2 linked regions of the Lonchura striata genome follow. The protein of the gene in region 2 purifies or fractionates together with the protein of the main gene of each other region. This does not show direct contact. Links are inferred from orthologs where the notes say so. Each region holds a gene or a part of one and is shown on either strand. Other genes may lie near its edges.

Region 1 (8,145 bases), on a different chromosome or scaffold from region 2:
AACAGTCAGGTGTGGCTTTAGTTCAGCTGTGGATTTGGTGGCACAGCAATCCAGGAAGAAGAGCCTACAGCAGATTCTTGGCCCCTGTCCTGCCAGTTCTGTCAAACTTGTTGCTTCCTCTGCTATAAATTCTCCAACTGCTTCCTCTAGACATGCTCCATAAATCCTTACCCTTCCTGGGATTCATACACACACTGACAACCTTCTTCAAACCACATTCCTGCACTAAATACACTGGAATAACTGCAGCAGCCCAACTCAGGGCCCCTCCTGAGCCTCTAGGCCCAAGAATAACTACATTCAAAGGAACAAGTGAGGTTTTTCACAGAAAGAGTTGAGTTTTAACCAAACCAGGGCGTGCTTGCTGGGTTTCACTGGTCTCTGATACTCACGTGGTGCCAGACTGCAGAAAGGGAATGCGGACACCCTCCACCACCACCACATTCTTCACCCCAGTTTTGCCCAAGGTCTTCTTAGTCTTTGGCTGAACTGGGAAGAGAGAAGTGATGGTGACAAGAATATCAGCAATTTTCATATAGATCCTGCAAAGCTTCTAGAAAACAAAGGAAATTGTCCTTTTTTGGTGTGTAAGTGAAAGGCAGGGAAGGTAGGAATCCTGGAATCATGGAATGGTTTGGGTAGGAAGGGACCTCAAAGCTCATCCATTGCACCCCTGCCATGGACAGGGACACCTCCTGCTATCCCAGGTTGCTCCAAGCTCCATCCAACTGAGCCTGGAACACTTCCAGGGATGGGGCCTGTGCCTCATCATCCTCACAGCCAAGAATTTCTTCCTAATGGGAAGAAATTTCTTCCTAATGGGAAGAAATTCTCTCCCCAGTGGGAGAGGTTCAAAACAAGGGATGTCATGACCTGGCATCATTCCACAGGCCAGTGCCAGGACAAAACTCCAGCACTGTCTGGAGATTCCTTCAGGCTCTTCCCAAAGCCTGGCGATGATGGGGAGCTGCTGTCCAGGCCTGTTCCCAAAATCCCAAAGCATGAATCACCTGAGCAACCCCCACAGTGAACCCAGAGCGTGGATCACCCCAGCCACTCACTGTGGGCTGAGACTAAAAACTGGGAATGGTGCTGGGAGCTGGGGCAAACTGGGAACGGGCACTGGGAGCCAGGGGCAGACTGAGAATGGGCACTGGGAGCAGCCTGGGAATAGCACTGGGAGCTGGGGGCAGACTGGGAATGGCCCTGGGAGCTGGGGGCAGACTGGGAATGGCCCTGGGAGCTGGGGGCAGACTGGGAATGGCCCTGGGAGCACACTGGGAATGGCACTGGGAGCTGGGGGCAGACTGGGAATGGGCATGGGAGCAGACTAGGAATGGCACTGGGAGCAGACTAGGAATGGCACTGGGAGCTGGGGGCAGACTAGGAATGGGCATGGGAGCAGACTAGGAATGGCACTGGGAGCTGGGGGCAGACTAGGAATGGGCATGGAAGCAGACTAGGAATGGCACTGGGAGCTGGGGGCAGACTGGGAATGGGCACTGGGAGCAGACTAGGAATGGCACTGGGAGCAGACTGGGAATGGCACTGGGAGCTGGGGGCAGACTAGGAATGGGCATGGGAGCAGACTAGGAATGGCACTGGGAGCTGGGGGCAGACTGGGAATGGCACTGGGAGCTGGGGGCAGACTGGGAATGGCCACTGGGAGCAAACTGGGAATGGCACTGGGCGCCAGGGCACTCAGCAAATGAGAGGACTCTGCTGCAAATACTGCTTTGCCTGAAGTTTTCCTTGCTTGCAGCTTTTCAGGAACACCCGAACCACCCTGCATTCTGCACCATTTCTAAGATTTAAGTGGAACAAGACTGTGGGAAGTGGAGGCAGCTTCCAAAACACCCCTGTCTAGCACAGACCCACTGAGATTCTGGTGTTTCCTCCTTACCTGCAGCTTGGAACGGCGAGGAGCAGCTGAGTGATCGAGTAACTGGAAAACAAGAAAGGGGAAAAAATACCAGAAAAATGTCAGAAACAGTTCTAGTCTCTGCAAGAAGGGTTAGGAAAGCAGATAGTGTCACTCTAAGACACCTGAGCACCTGTGGGGTGTTGGGTGGTTTACTCTGTGCAGAAACCTGGTACACTTTCTGTTAACTGTTAACTCAAGACTCCTCCCCATATGATGCAGGAAGGGACAAACAAGGCAACAATGTAATTAGGATTAAAAAGTAAAAAATGTCAGTCTTTTAAAGGTGAGAACGGGTATAGATTCAGACCCCAGCATCCATTCCAAACCCAACACTTCAACCAGAGGTTTACGGCCACCAATAAAATCTAAAGATACTCACAGGCCCCAGCAGCCCAGGCTGAGGACACGGGGAGGTTCCGCAGGGCAGAGCTCAGCATGGAACTCATTTTGGGATCTAGGGAAAGGCTGGGCTCAGTCCAAGCTGCTGTGTCCAGAACAATCCCAAGGGAAGCGTCCTGCCTGCCTCACACAGAGCCAGCAAGGTGAGGGGCACACACTGCAAGGGCAGCAGCAGCACAGGGAATCACCTCCCACCACGCTTGTGCCTGTGAATAAACACCGCCCTGTGAGCTTCTCAATTCCCTCCCAGGAACTGCTCCTCCACTTCCCACTGGAAAATTGTCCCAGTGCCCAGGCAGCCCTGCTGCCAGCAGCACCTCCTGACACCAGCAGTGTCCTTGGCACCCCTGCCCCTCGTTGGCCCCTGGTGCCAGCCTGAGGATCCTGCTGTGCATCCCCACAGCAAACACAGCAAGTTCGCCCCCAAAAACCCCTCTGAAGCTCTCCCAAATCGGGTTTCCCTATAAACAAACCCTCATCTGCAGTTTATTGCCGAGATGGCCCTCACAGCTCCAGGACTTTGCTTGATCCATGTCAACATTCATCTCCCTCTGTCACACTTTGTGGGTTCAAATCCTGGCACTTTCTCTCCCAAGCACAGAGTTTTGCCATGGAGGGGCACAGGAACACCCACAGTCCCAAACCCAGCCCTCTGCAGTTCCCCATAACTCAGCACAAGCTGCCAGTCACCCCCTTTGACACCTCCCAGCTGCAGCTCCACACCTGGAATGTGACCCTTCCCAGCCCCAGGCTCCTCCTGCCAACAAAAATCCCAAAACCAGACCTTTCCAAAGCATCCTGCTCCTCCTCCACCTCTGCCAACCTCCCTCCCCACACCTGACTGAAGTTTTCCCCTAAATTTTCCCTGCCCAGCTGACAGAAGTTTCTCCCAGGTGTAACCTCCTCCTCCCTCCCACACTGCACAGCCATCTCCTCCCGGTGCACCCCCGTTCCTGCCCCTTCAAAACACCCCAAACTCCCTCATTTTTGGGAGCCAGTGCTCCCCTGGCACCCCAAGGGCTCAGCCCTGCCCACACAAATCGTCAAGACAAAGCTCCTTGCAGAGCCAGGATTTGCCTGGATTCCACAGCTCTGTGACCCTCACGGATCCCTTCCAACTCAGGATAATCCACAATTCCATGAACAGCCCCTGCTCCCTTCCTGTCCCCACACACCCCTGACACTTTCACACCGCAGCACCGCCACCTCCACCCCGGGACTCCCACCCCAAACACACCCGTGCTGCTCTCAGCCACCCCCAAACCCCCTCATCCACCCAGGGCCAACTCACGACCCCTGCTGTCCGCCCAGGACCAGCCCCTCAGTCCTTTCATCCATCCAGCACTGACCCCCTGGGACCTCCTCACCCTTTCCCAGCCCCCCTACCCCATCCATCAGGAATGAACCCACCAAAACTCCCCTCACTCCCATTCGGAACGAACTGCCCGACTCCCCAAACTTCCATCCAGAAAGAACCTCCAACTCCTGTCACGTCTCCCCATCCATCAGAACGAACCCCCCAACTTCCCTCACTTCCAACTGGAATGAACACCCAGACTCCTCTCACATCCAGAACGAACCCCTCAACTCCCCTCACTGCTCCCCGTCCATTCAGAATGATCCAGACTCGCCTCACTGCTCCTCGTCCATCCAAAAGGAAACCCCGAGTCCCCTCACGTCCACCCAGAACGAACCCCCCGCCTCCCCTCACTTCCATCGAGAACGAACCCCCCGACTCCCCTCACGTCCCCCCTCCATCTGCCCCCACCCCCGGCCTCCCTTCATCCCTCCCCGCCCGCTGAGGACAGACCCCCGACCCTCTGCTCCAGCCCGCACCGCGCCTGACCCCCACCCTCCTCCTCAGGACCGCCTCCCGACTGCTCCCACCCTCCCCGCGCTGCCGTCCACGCAGGACGGAGCCCCTGACCGCCCCGTGCGCTCCCGTCCCTTTCCGTCCGCTCACCTCCGCCCTCACCGCGCTCTGCCGCCGCCGCCGCTCCTCCACCCAGCGAGGACCCCGCGCCCCGCCACCCTCGGGCTGCCCGCGTCCGCCTGACCCGCACCTCTCCCTCTACCGCCGCCCCGCAGCCCGTCCCCGGCCTCTCCCGCAATCCGCTGCGGCCCGGCGCGGGTCGCACCCACCCGAGGCTCGGCGGAGAGCGGAGCGGGAGGCGGCGGCGGGGCGGCGGCGGCGGCGAAGCGCGCGGGCAGCGCGGCGGGCAGCGCGGGCGGGGCGCGGCGGGCGGGGCGTGCGCCGTCAGGCCCCCCCCCCCACCGGCGGCCTCTCCTCCCTCATTCGACCTCGGCGAAGATGGCGGCGGCGGTGCGAGCCATCGGCAGCCTCGGCCGCCTCCCGGCCGCCGCCAGGGCCGGCCCGACGCGGCACACCCCGCCCCGCGGTGAGCCAGGGCACGGCGGGGAGCGGGAGCGGCCGCACTGCGGGGGCCCCCGCCTGAGGGGAGCACCGGGGGATGGGGGCAGTGGGGGGTGAGGGACGGGAGGTGCCTGAGGGGGTATTGAGGGAAGGGGAGCGCTGGCGGGCAGGGGGGCAGTGAAGGGGCAGTGAAGGCTCGGGGGACGCTAAAGGAGCGAGGATTGGCGTGGGATGGGGCTCACTGAGGAGAAAGTTTTGGGGGGACGGTGAGGAGGCGCTGCAGGGGTGGCGCTGAGGGGGCGAGGGGCAGGGGGGCACTGAGAGCCGCGCTAAGTGGGCGAGGGCCGGGGTGACATTGAGGGGATGAGGAACAAGGGGTCCCAGAGAGGATTTCATGGTGCTGGGGCAGGAGTTGGGGGTGTCTGGGGGTCACAAAGGGTTCTTGAGGTGATGGCTGTGAGGAGTTCGCAGGAAGGCTGTGAGGGCCGGGACTGGGACAGGGGATCCCCGGGGCAGCTGTGGGGTGGGAGGTGTCCCCATGTGTGTCTGTGCCCCGTGTGAGGGGTTTGTCCCCAGAGTCACCCAAGGGGATCCCTGGCAGGTCCCAAACATCCCCCACCCCGAGGTTTGTCCCCTCCGTGTCCTGTGGTCTCTGGGGGTTGTGTGCCCCCATGGGGACATCCTGCTGTGCCAGTCCTTGCACAGGGACACGCTGTGGGAATCTCTGAGCAGTTCTTGGGGGGTCCCAGTGAGCTGGCACTGATGGGGGGACACACCCTCCAGTCAGATCCCTGCACATGAGCTGAGCCACGGGGAGAGAGTGTCCTTGTGCCCTGACACGTGTGCCTGTCCCCAGTGCCCCGAGTGGCTGCTTGGAAAGGAGAGGGTGTCCCCATGTCCTTGGCAGCCTGGGTGCTGTGGCTGCCCTCCAGGCAGGCAGGTGTATCCATGGGATCCCTGTCATCCCTGTGACCCCGTAGTCCCACTTGCCTGGGGGGAGGCTGTCTCCAGGTGCTCCATGATTTCTCAGCTGAGAGAATTGGGGATGTTCAGCCTTGGGAAAAGAATCATCCTCTGGGGAGAGCTCAGAGCCTGGAGGGCTCCAGGAGAGCTGCAGAGGGATTTGGGACAAGGAATGGAGGGACAGGACCCAGGGAATGGCTGTGTCCAGAGGGCAGGGCTGGATGGGAGATTGGGAATTAGGAATTGTTCCCTGTGAGGGTAGGGAGGGGCCGGGATGGAATTCCCAGAGCAGCTGGGGCTGCCCCTGGATAATCCCTGGCAGTGCCCAAGGCCAGGTTGGACACTGGGGTTTGGAGCCACCTGGAATAGTGGAAGGGGTCCCAGCCATGGCAGGGGTGGCACTGGATGAGCTTTAACATTCCTTCCCATCTAAACCATCCTGGGATTCAGTGATTCCATGATTTTGTGGGGGCATCTCCCTTGCCAGCTTGGGCAGGGCTGTGGCTCTCTCCTGCCTCTGCACGGATCTGGCTTGGTGCCTCCTGGCCACCGAGGCAGGGAGTCCCCAGGAGCCCTGGGAAGGCCAGAGGGCCTGGCTGGGAAGCTCTGGAAACCTCACATTTGAGCACTTTGAAGGGCCTCAGAGTCTGGTGTTGATGTTGACCCAAACTCCAGCTCTATTTCGTTTAAACCCAAACCTGAGCTCAGCAGTGCGGGGTTCAGAGCTGGACTCGGTGCTCTGAGAGCTCTTATCCAACAAGTCCATGGTTCTGGGATCATGGTGAGCAATTCCTGGTTCAGGGATTATGGTGAGCAATGCCTGGTTCTGGGATCATGGTGAGCAATCCCATGGTTCTGGGATCATGGTGAGCAATTCCTGGTTCTGGGATCATGGTGAACAATTCCTGGTTCTGGGATCAGGGTGAGCAATTCCTGGTTCTGGGATCATGGTGAGCAATCCTGGTTCTGGGATCATGGTGAGCAATTCCTGGTTCTGGGATCATGGTGAACAATCCCATGATTCTGGGATCCTGGTGAACAATTCCATGGTTCTGGGATCATGATGAACAATTCCTGGTTCTGGGATCATGGTGAGCAATTCCTGTTTCTGGGATCATGGTGAACAATCCCATGGTTCTGGGATCAGGGTGAGCAATTCCATGGTTCTGGGATCATGGTGGACAATTCCATGTTTCTGGGATCATAATGAACAATTCCTGGTTCTGGGATCATGGTGAGCAATTCCTGGTTCAGGGATTATGGTGAGCAATTCCTGGTTCTGGAATCATTGTTGTGGCGCGGCATGTGGCACAGCAGATCATGGTGAGCAATTCCTGGTTCTGGGATCATGGTGAGCAATTCCTGGTTCTGGGATCATGGTGAGCAATTCCTGGTTCTGGGATCATGGTGAACAATCCCATGGTTCTGGGATCGTGGTGAACAATCCCATGTTTCTGGGATCATAATGAACAATTCCTGGTTCTGGGATCATGGTGAACAATTCCTGGTTCTGGGATCGTGGTGAGCAATTCCTGGTTCTGGGATCATGGTGAGCAATTCCATGGCTCTGGGATCATGATGAGCAATTCCTGGTTCTGGGATCATGGTGAACAATCCCATGGTTCTGGGATCATGATGAACAATCCCACGTTTCTGGAATCATGGTGAGCAATCCCACAGTTCTGGGATCATGATGAACAATCCCATGTTTCTGGGATCATGGTGAGCAATCCCACGGTTCAGGGATCATGGTGAGCAATTCCTGGTTCTGGGATTATGGTGAACAATCCCACAGTTCTGGGATCATGATGAGCAATCCCATGTTTCCAGGATCATGGTGAGCAATCCCACGGTTCAGGGATCCTGGTGAGCAATTCCTGGTTCTGGGATCACAGCTGTGTTACGTGCAGCCTTGGAGCAGGTTTGTACGTGACAGGGAGCTGCAATCACTGAGGAGGAGACTTGTGGCAACTCCAGAGAGTTCTCAGGCTGCTGCTGGTTGGAATTCTTGTTCCAACTGGTGAAGCTCTCCACAACAAACAGCCCTGGAGCTGCTGTGAGGACACTACCACCGTTGCTAATGAATGAATACCCTCGTTCTGCCTTGCAAAGCTTGGGAAGTGCATGCAAAGCTCTCAGGGGCAGCCCAAAGGCAGGGAGCAGTCAGGAGCCAGGTGAGCTCCAGGGCTGGCTGTACCTGCTGGGCCACATCCGTGTGCCACCAGGTTCCCAGGGTGGCTTGGGAAGCTCAGTGTGCCGGGAGTTTCCCTTCTCACGGGTCACAGCTCCGTGCTCAGCTGGCAGGGACAGCTCAGGCAGCCTGAGCTCCGTGCTGCTGGGGCTTGGGCTGCTCCAGGACTGGAAAAAGGCTTTTCCCTGAGCCATGGAGGCAGTTCCCAGTTCAAGGCGTGTGCCACGTGCCGGTGAGTGGAAGGGTGGGAGCTGAGGTAGGAACAGGGAGAAGAGAAAGTGGGAAGGAGCAGGC
Region 2 (8,404 bases):
AAATTGTATTTTCGCCATTTTAAATAGGGAAACAGTGGTACATGGAGGTAGAATAAATTGCCTTTGGTAACCAAAAGGTTAAGGATAGAGTCAGGATTGGAAAATGGGTCTTGTGGAGCCCATGTCAATATTTTATCCAGTAGAAAAACCTTTCTTTATTTCTTAACCTAATCTATTTCATAAAAAAATTCTGAGCTCTGCTGTTCTAATAAGAACAAAAAAAGACTTTTTATGTGGAAAAAAAAATATTTCAGCTAGAAAACTCTCACATAAAAAACTTCAAAATACAGATTTCAGAGCTTTTTCTTCCCCATCTCCTTTCTCCAGGCTCAGTTGGCAACACTGTGCTGAGAAGAGATTGGGAAACAGCAGTGCTGTGTGCTTTCTGTGGAGAACCTGTGGAGTGCACAGTTGCATTTCTCTTCATGATCCAAACTGAATCTCACTTTAAAAGATGCATAAGATTTTAGTGAAATTTATTTTATATTAGTTATATATTTAACCATCACGTAACTTTGAAATATAATACCAAGGTTTCTTTTTTTATTATTGTTATTATTCTTTTTGTTCCTTTTACAGTTCTTTAACAAAAGAAAAACCTATTTTGCCCATGACCCACTGCAGCAGTGTGTTGTTGGAGACATTGTTCTTCTGAAAGCTCTGCCTGAGAGAAGGAGCAAACACGTGAAACACGAACTGGCTGAAATTGTGTTCAAGGTTGGCAATGTCATAGATCCCATCACAGGAAAGCCCTGTGCAGGAACCAGATTCCTGGAAAACCTGTCAGATTCAGAAAATCTCACTGAGGCAGATACCACCTATCTAAGTGAGAAACTTCAGGAACTTAAAGTTTGTTCAACAGACAAATAGTGGGGGAAATATTTTAAGCAGAGGGCTTCCAGCTTTTGTCTCTCTCTGTCAGGGATGTTTGAGGCCCTGCTGTGATATGTTAAATGTTTCAGTGAAATCTGTAGTCAAAATAAATAGTAAATGTAGTTGCTTATGCAAAGAGATGTTGCAGTTTGATGGGCACCTGGATCTTTGAATGAAAATACAGAAAAAAAATGCAAGTTTAGTGTTCACACCTCATTTTGTTGCCTGTAGTTTTGCCCCAGTGACAGTTCCCAAAGGCAGCTGCCCTCCTGGAATGACCTCTCTGTGTTAAGACAAGACTACAACTGTGTGATGTTTAATTTCGGTGGGAGGGTCATTATATTATTTGATTGTTCTGTGTTTCAGGCAGTCTTTTGTGGTTTGTAGGGTTACTGGAGATGGTGCTATTAAAGCTTTTGAAAGGAAGTGTAGAATTTTACAATCAGCTGCATGATTGTGTCCTTATTTCCTCTTACAGTGCCTTCTGACTTCCAAACTCTAACAAAAACACAGCCCTTTGCCTTTCTAGTGGCAGAGAGGTGAGAATCAAAGCTTTGGGCAGCTTAGTGTGGTTGGCTCTGTCCCCTGTGCAAGCAGGATTTCATGCTGGGAGAGCTGGATCTCCTTGAGCTTTGCCAGCAGGACGGGGGAGCTGATGAGAATACAAAGCCTAAAAATGATTAGATTTAGGCTCATTAGAAAAGCTAATTAAAATAACACATTTTGGGGAGCTAGAGGTGCTGGTTTGCTGCATGTTTTAATGTGGAGTTAAAGGCCCAAGGAGTTAGTGATGAAAGATGATTTTATCCTGCTACAGCTCTGGGGATCTCATGTCCTCTCCTCCAGGACATAGAGCAAGATGAGAGCCTGCAGCTGTTGCAGCAGCCTCCTGTTCTGACTTTGGATCTAAAAGGGCATCTGTCTTAAAATTTGGCAGTGTGGGAGGGGAGAGTGGGATATGAGAGCTGTGAGCAATCCTTTCCAAAGTATCCATTGGTCTTTAGGGTCAGAAGCAAAAAACAAGGTGTATCAGACTTAAAATCTTAGCCTCTGACCTAAAATATCTTACTTTAAGCAACTGAGTAGCTTCCAGTTGTGTTCTCTGCTGTTGTAAAATTATTAAGGATCATTTTCCCTTTAACTTCCTGCACAAAATCAGTTCTGGCTGCCTAAAAAGCCTGAGTGAACTCAGCAAATGATTTGGGACAACAGGAATGAAAACCTTAAAGTTCCTTTGGTGCTTCAAAGCAAAAAATGCTGCTCTTTGAATGCCAGTGTTCATGTGGGTTGTCAAGAAACTTTCACTGAAATGTTCTGTGTGAAATTCTGTGGGCACAGGCTCTGAGGTTGAGGAAGTGCCTTAAGCATGTGGCTGTTGGGTTTTTCTTGTTGTTTGTGGCAGAGGTTTAGGTTTATGTAAATTCCTCAGGAATTGGAGCTGGCTGATCAAAGCAAAGGAAAAACCTGAGCTCTGATTCCTGCCCAGGTGAATGCAAAATGCGAAACTTCATCCAAGCAGAGATTGGGAGAACTTGGACACAGGGTAGAACTTGGTCCTGGGCTATAGGAAGTGCACTGAAGCTGTATCCAAGCAGAAATTGACCCTCAATATTTGGAATATAAGTGTTCTGATAACTAGATAATTATAAAAAATTGCAAAGCTTTCCTGTTTGCTTAATAGGTTGCATCTACATCTAATTAGGGGAGTGAATATTTTCTTGTCTTGTGATTTCCCTTGAGTAGCTGTGAAAATGCCACTTTTTTTCCTATAAGATTGATTCATCACAGAAGGTTATAATTTTTCCAGTGTAGGCTCCAGGAGGGTTGCTCAAGAACTTGCCACACTGTCAGATCAAAATGTCACTAAAACCAAATTACATGTCAGACTGTGTTACTTAAGAGTCATGGCAATTGTAGGTTAAATTGTTTTAAAGTACAAAGATTGTACTTTTGTGATGTTAAAGCACATCATATGTGTTATCTTCTGGATTAGTCTCAGAAAGTGCTGATAGAAAAGTCATAAAATGGGAAGGGAAAGTTTATAGGGCCAAGATAGAATCATTACAGGTGTTACATGGAATGATAAGGATTAGTCACTGACTGCTTTCTGTGTTTATTGGCTTGTTGCTTTTAGAACTAGCCTTTAATTATTACTCTAATTATCACTTTATCCTTAATTTGAAGTGATTTAAGGATTCAATGCCAGCACACACCTCCTCCTCTGCGAAAATATATCCAAGTACAGCAGAGCAGAGTGTGAGGAAAACCCTTCAGCAACCAGCGAGTCAAAAATGTACTGGGAGAGCAACATACCCAGGGCTGGGGGGTCCCCTAAATCCAACTGGGTCCCCTAAAACCAGGGCTGGGAGTCCCCTAAATCCAACTGGGTCCCCTAAAACCAGGGCTGGGAGTCCCCTAAATCCAACTGGGTCCCCTAAAACCAGGGCTGGGATTCCCCTAAATCTGACTGGGGGACTTCAACCCGAGACTGGAGTCGCCCCAAACTGAGCCCAGGGTCCCCCTAACTGGGGCAGGAGTCTGTCAAAACTGGGGCTTGAGGGTCTTAATAAGTCCAAGTGGGTTCCTCCCCAAACTGGGGCTTGGGTAAACCTAAACAAGGCTGGGGACACCCCAAAACTCTGGCTGGGGTCCCCCCAAATTCAAGTAGATCTCCCCAAACCAGGGCTGGGGTCCCTCTACGTCTTAAGTGTTCCCAAACCAGGGCTGGGAAATCGCCCCCAAATCCGACTTGGTCCCCCCCCCAAACCAAGGCTGGAGAACCCCAAAACCAGAACTGGTTCCCCTATATTTGAATAGAAGTCCCCAAAGCTACGTAGGGTCCCCCTAAACCCAACTTGGTCCCCCCAAACCGGGGCTGGGGTCCCTTTATGTCTGAGTAGGTGTTCCCAAACTGGGGCATGGTTCTCCCTAAAGCCGACTTGGTTCCCCCAAATCCGACTTGGTTCCCCCAAAACCGAGGCTGGAGAACCCCAAAACTAGACCTGGGTCCTCTGTATCTGAGTAGCGGTCCCCAAAGCTGGGCAGGGTTCCCCTAAAGCTGACTTGGTCCCCCCAAAGCAGGGCTGGGGTCCCTCTACGTCTGAATAGGTGTTCCCAAACCGGGGCATGGTTCCCCCCAAATCTGGCTTGATCCCCCCAAAACCAAGACTGGTTTTGGTCCCCAAAGCTGGGCAGGGTCCCCCTAAACTCTACTTGGTCCCCCCAAACCGGGGCTGGGGTCCCTTTATGTCTAAGTAGGTGTTCCCAAACCGGGGCATGGTTCTCCCTAAAGCCGACTTGGTTCCCCCAAATCCGACTTGGTCCCCCCAAAACCGAGGCTGGGGAGCCCCAAAACCAGAGCTGGGTCCCCTATATCTGAGTAGCGGTCCCCAAAGCTGGGCAGGGTCCCCCTAAACCCAACTTGGTCCCTCCAAACTGGGGCTGGGGTCCCTTTATGTCTGAGTAGGTGTTCCCAAACCAGGGCATGGTTCTCCCCAAATCCGACTTGGTCCCCCCAAAACCGAGGCTGGGGAGCCCCAAAACCAGAACTGGTTCCCCTATATCTGAGTAGCGGTCCCCAAAGCTGGGCAGGGTCCCCCTAAACCCAACTTGGTCCCTCCAAACCGGGGCTGGGGTCCCTTTATGTCTAAGTAGGTGTTCCCAAACCGGGGCATGGTTCTCCCTAAAGCCGACTTGGTTCCCCCAAATCCGACTTGGTTCCCCCAAAACCGAGGCTGGGGAGCCCCAAAACCAGAGCTGGGTCCCCTATATCTGAGTAGCGGTCCACAAAGCTGAGCAAGGTCCCCTTAAAGCTGGCTTGGTTCCCTCAAATCTGACTTGGTCCTCCCTAAACCAAGGTTGGGTAACCCCAAAACCAGAACTGGTTCCCCTATATCTGAGTAGCGGTCCCCAGAGCTGGGCAGGGTCCCCTAAACCCGACTGGGTCCCCCCAAGGCGGGGCCGGGGTCCCCCCTCAGCTGAGGGGCCGTGAGGGGGTCGCGGGGCCGCGCATGCGCGGGCGGCGCTGCCCGCCAGGGGGCGTGGCCGCAGCCCCCGGCCCAGGAGGGAGGCGGCGGGAGCAAGATGGCGGCGCGAGTGCTGCTGCGGGGGAGCCTGGCGGGAGCGCCCGCCCTGCCGCGCCTGCAGCCCGGCACCGGGCCTGCCCTCAGGTGAGCCCTGAGGGGGGCGAGGCGGGCGGGACGGGGCCGCCGGGGGAAGCTGCACGGCAAGAGCCGGCGCCGCCCGAGCCGCCTTGCGCCCCGCCGCGCGCAGCGTCCCCTTGCCAGGCTGGAAATGGCGCCCCGCCGGCGGGGCAGCGGCCGGGCCTGGGGCGGGCGGTGCGAGCGGCGGGGCGTCCCTCAAGGTCACGGGCCGCAAGGCCGGCCCCTTCCTTCCCTCCCCGAGTCCGCCCCTGGGTGGGAGGATGGCCGCCGGAGCCCGGGCTCGGGGGGCGCCCGGAGCCTTTCCCCTCACGGCCACCCCCGCGCGGAGCGGGCGCGCCGCGGCTCCGGGGTGCCCCGCCGCCTGCGCACCGCTGCGCCCGTGTTAGACACCGGGATGCTCGCACCGCGCTGCCCCTCCAACTCCTCCGAGCAACAGGGTGCACGGCCGGCAGCGGCTCCTGTCAGCGGGCACGGCCGCAAATCCCTGCTTGCCCAGGGTTTGCGTGGCTGCACATCCCGATGTCTTCCTGCCTTCACCGTTCACAGCCACGGCTGGTACTTCCCGTGGGAGCTGGGCTCACCTTCTCCCGGTGCTAGGGCACACAGAGAGGCACATCCCGCAGGTTTTGGTGTGCAGAGATTTGTATTTCTGTGTGCGAGGGTGCCCGAGGTGCATTCATACACGCACACAGCTCCTGGGGGCACCTCCCAGGTGTAGGAAGCAGGCACAGGGTGATGGAAACACAGGAATTCCCAAGCTGGGATGGATCTACACAGTTTTTCCTCCCTTTCCTTGAAGCTGCCGCTTCAAGCTCTAGAACAAGCATCCCTGCAAGCAGCTGTTCAGGGAATGTGTTGTGAGGTTTTACCTGCATGATTTTTGCATATTTTAGTTGCAAATAAACTTTGTTTAGACCACAGATCAAAAGCTGTCAAAGATAGAAAAGTTGGTTTTCTTACTCTTCCAGGTAGATTTGGGTTACTACAAAATCTAAATACTTAACCTGGTGTGTCCCACCCAGGTTATGTTTTGTGCTAAAAAGGTGTTTTCCGTGAGATTTTTAATCTAATCTAAACAAGCAATTCAGTGTTAGCCTTTTGTGTTCAGAGCCCAACCTTTGCAGCAGGAAAGCAAGGCCCACAGTTAATATTTGCAGCTTGAGAACTTGATGACAAGTTCTCAAAGACAAGTTGATGCTCACAGCTGTTGAAAGACCTGAATTCAGTCCCTGCTCCTCCAGAGCTAATTTTGGGTACAGATTGCCCCAAAAATTGAATCAGTGATCAATTCAGGGCTTCTTGGTTCAGTGGTATTTTTAGGATATTGATTAAAAGTCAGGCTATTGAATCTCAGTTTGGGTGCAGTGTGTGAGGTGTATATTTAGTTGTGATTTGTGCTCATGAGGAGCTTTACAGCTGCTGGGGAAAAGATTTTTCCATACATGTAAAATATTACTCATGTCATTGTTTTGAAAATTAACCATACCTCCAGTTTTCAGTGCAGTTTAACATTCAAGTCACGAGATTCTCCTAACAGCAAAGAAATTTGCTTTTCAGAGTTAATCCCTGTAGCTCCAGCTTACTTCTGCTGCTGATGGAGTTCTTTTTCCTCTTCAAAGTTTGCTGCAAACAATGATCCTTGTAGATGAGTTTTCTAAATATTACCTTGCTAACTTTGTTTAATAAAGGGGAGGGAATTGTTTAAAATGAGAGTTTACAGGTCTGAGTATTGCAGGGTTTGACTTCTGCCTCCTGGAGCCAGGGAGGGCTTAATTTGAGGGAGCCTTTTCAAACAAAACTTGAATTTCTGAGGTGGGGTTCTCTGAGCTCAGAGAAAGCTCCACTCCAGCAGCAGCCTTATCATGGACTGCCCTTCAAATGCCTGCCCTCAGGAATTTAGCACAGCCTCATGTTTGTGTGTGTGCCCAGAGCAGGGCAGGCACCATTTTCAATAAACACACCAAGATTTAAACATCATTTCTTTGTGCTGAAGGTCATCTCAGCTGTGGTGGTTGTTTCTCTGCTGTGCAATACTTTCCCTCTCCTCCAGCCTGCTTCCATGGGCAGAACCAGGTCATTATGTTCTTTTCTGACACTGGGATTAAAAGGTGGATTGTTGTAAAAAATGCTTTTGTGCAATACAGGTGTGTCCTAGGGGATATTTTCCCAAAGGAAATTGAGATTTTCTTTCCCTGTTTTCTTTTCCTGGTAGAAAGCTTTGGGCTGGAGGTCCAGCTGTCCTCTGGATCCACAAGTCAGTAGTTAGGGGTGAAAAGTTGATGGCTGAGATTTCCACCTTAGAAGTAAATATATGTGCTACAAATGCCACATGTAATATTTCAGTATTTCAGGAGAAGCTTGTGACAGAATTAATTTTTCTTCACTGTGGCTACTATGAGGCTGTCAAAAAAAGGCAAATTGGAGGACGAGAAAGAAGCAAAACCTTTTGAGCTTGTCAGACATTGTAGAGGATCAGTTAAATGCATCAGATTCCTTGTCCTGGTCTCTGGGAAAAAGGAATAATTCCTTTAACACATCACTTAAAAAACCACAGTCTGTGTGCTGTGATGTAAAGGGAGGTGCCACTATTTTGAAAGTGTACTTGGAGAAGCTGGACAAAGATTGGATAAGAAAAGACAGTGAAAATGTTATGTTTGGAGGCAGGGGAAATGTGGATGTTGTACAGAGAGCCTGGCTCTGTGTCCCTGTGTGTTGCTGCAATCTCATCCTCTTTCCCAAATCAGTATTTCATGCTATTTTTCCTCTTGAAAGACATTTCCCTTTTGTAGAGCTGTCTTTAAGGAGCACAGGAACATATGGCACTTCCTTTCCCTTTTACACTGTGCAGTTTTCCTTCTGCACGTTTTTTGCTCTTTTTCACTCCTGACTCTTTACACCAGGCCAGACCCAGCCCTGGGCAAAAACAATGGGTTAAAAAAGAGGATAAATAGGCAGGAGAAGCAGCCATTGCACAGGGAATAAGCATGGATAATGTGGGTTGTGGGAATAGGGTTTGTAGAGAATTTTTAAAGTTTGATGGAAGATTTTATGTACATTAATTGTTACAGTGACAGTGTTAGCACCTTGTGTGCTTCACTGTGCACAGCAAATGATGAACAAGGCCATCAGAGAAGTTTTTTCTGTTCAAGAGAGAAGGGGAAATGTGGGAAACGGATTTGTAGAGAATTCTCAAAGCCTGGCAGAAGGCTCTCATAGTGGGCATCCATATGCAAACTTGGAGATAAGAAATGCTGACTTAGAAATGCCATGAAATAGAAAAGACATTGTTGAGAAAAAAAGGGAACTAGAAACAAGTTTCAAAGGATGGCCTTGCAAATAAGTCTGGATACTTTAAAGAAATAGAACTA

What was found.
Region 1: the proteins of NIPSNAP2 (region 2) and HADHA purify together in Homo sapiens (affinity purification with mass spectrometry; 3 studies listed by BioGRID and IntAct, with this or other methods). This does not show direct contact. The link is inferred for Lonchura striata from reciprocal best matches to the Homo sapiens genes NIPSNAP2 and HADHA.

Annotation. Positions count from the first base shown.
Region 1 is NC_134605.1:113,198,583-113,206,727, forward strand, and holds the start of HADHA (trifunctional enzyme subunit alpha, mitochondrial), read left to right. Parts: upstream 1-4,597; 5' UTR 4,598-4,634; coding exon 4,635-4,722; intron 4,723-8,145. Other genes in the region: HADHB (trifunctional enzyme subunit beta, mitochondrial), read right to left, coding at 393-489, 1,904-1,945, 2,304-2,370. UniProt on the Homo sapiens protein: Mitochondrial trifunctional enzyme catalyzes the last three of the four reactions of the mitochondrial beta-oxidation pathway.
Region 2 is NC_134622.1:6,390,956-6,399,359, forward strand, and holds the start of NIPSNAP2 (protein NipSnap homolog 2), read left to right. Parts: upstream 1-4,925; 5' UTR 4,926-4,956; coding exon 4,957-5,042; intron 5,043-8,404. Other genes in the region: MRPS17 (small ribosomal subunit protein uS17m), read left to right, coding at 580-870. UniProt on the Homo sapiens protein: Protein involved in mitophagy by facilitating recruitment of the autophagy machinery required for clearance of damaged mitochondria.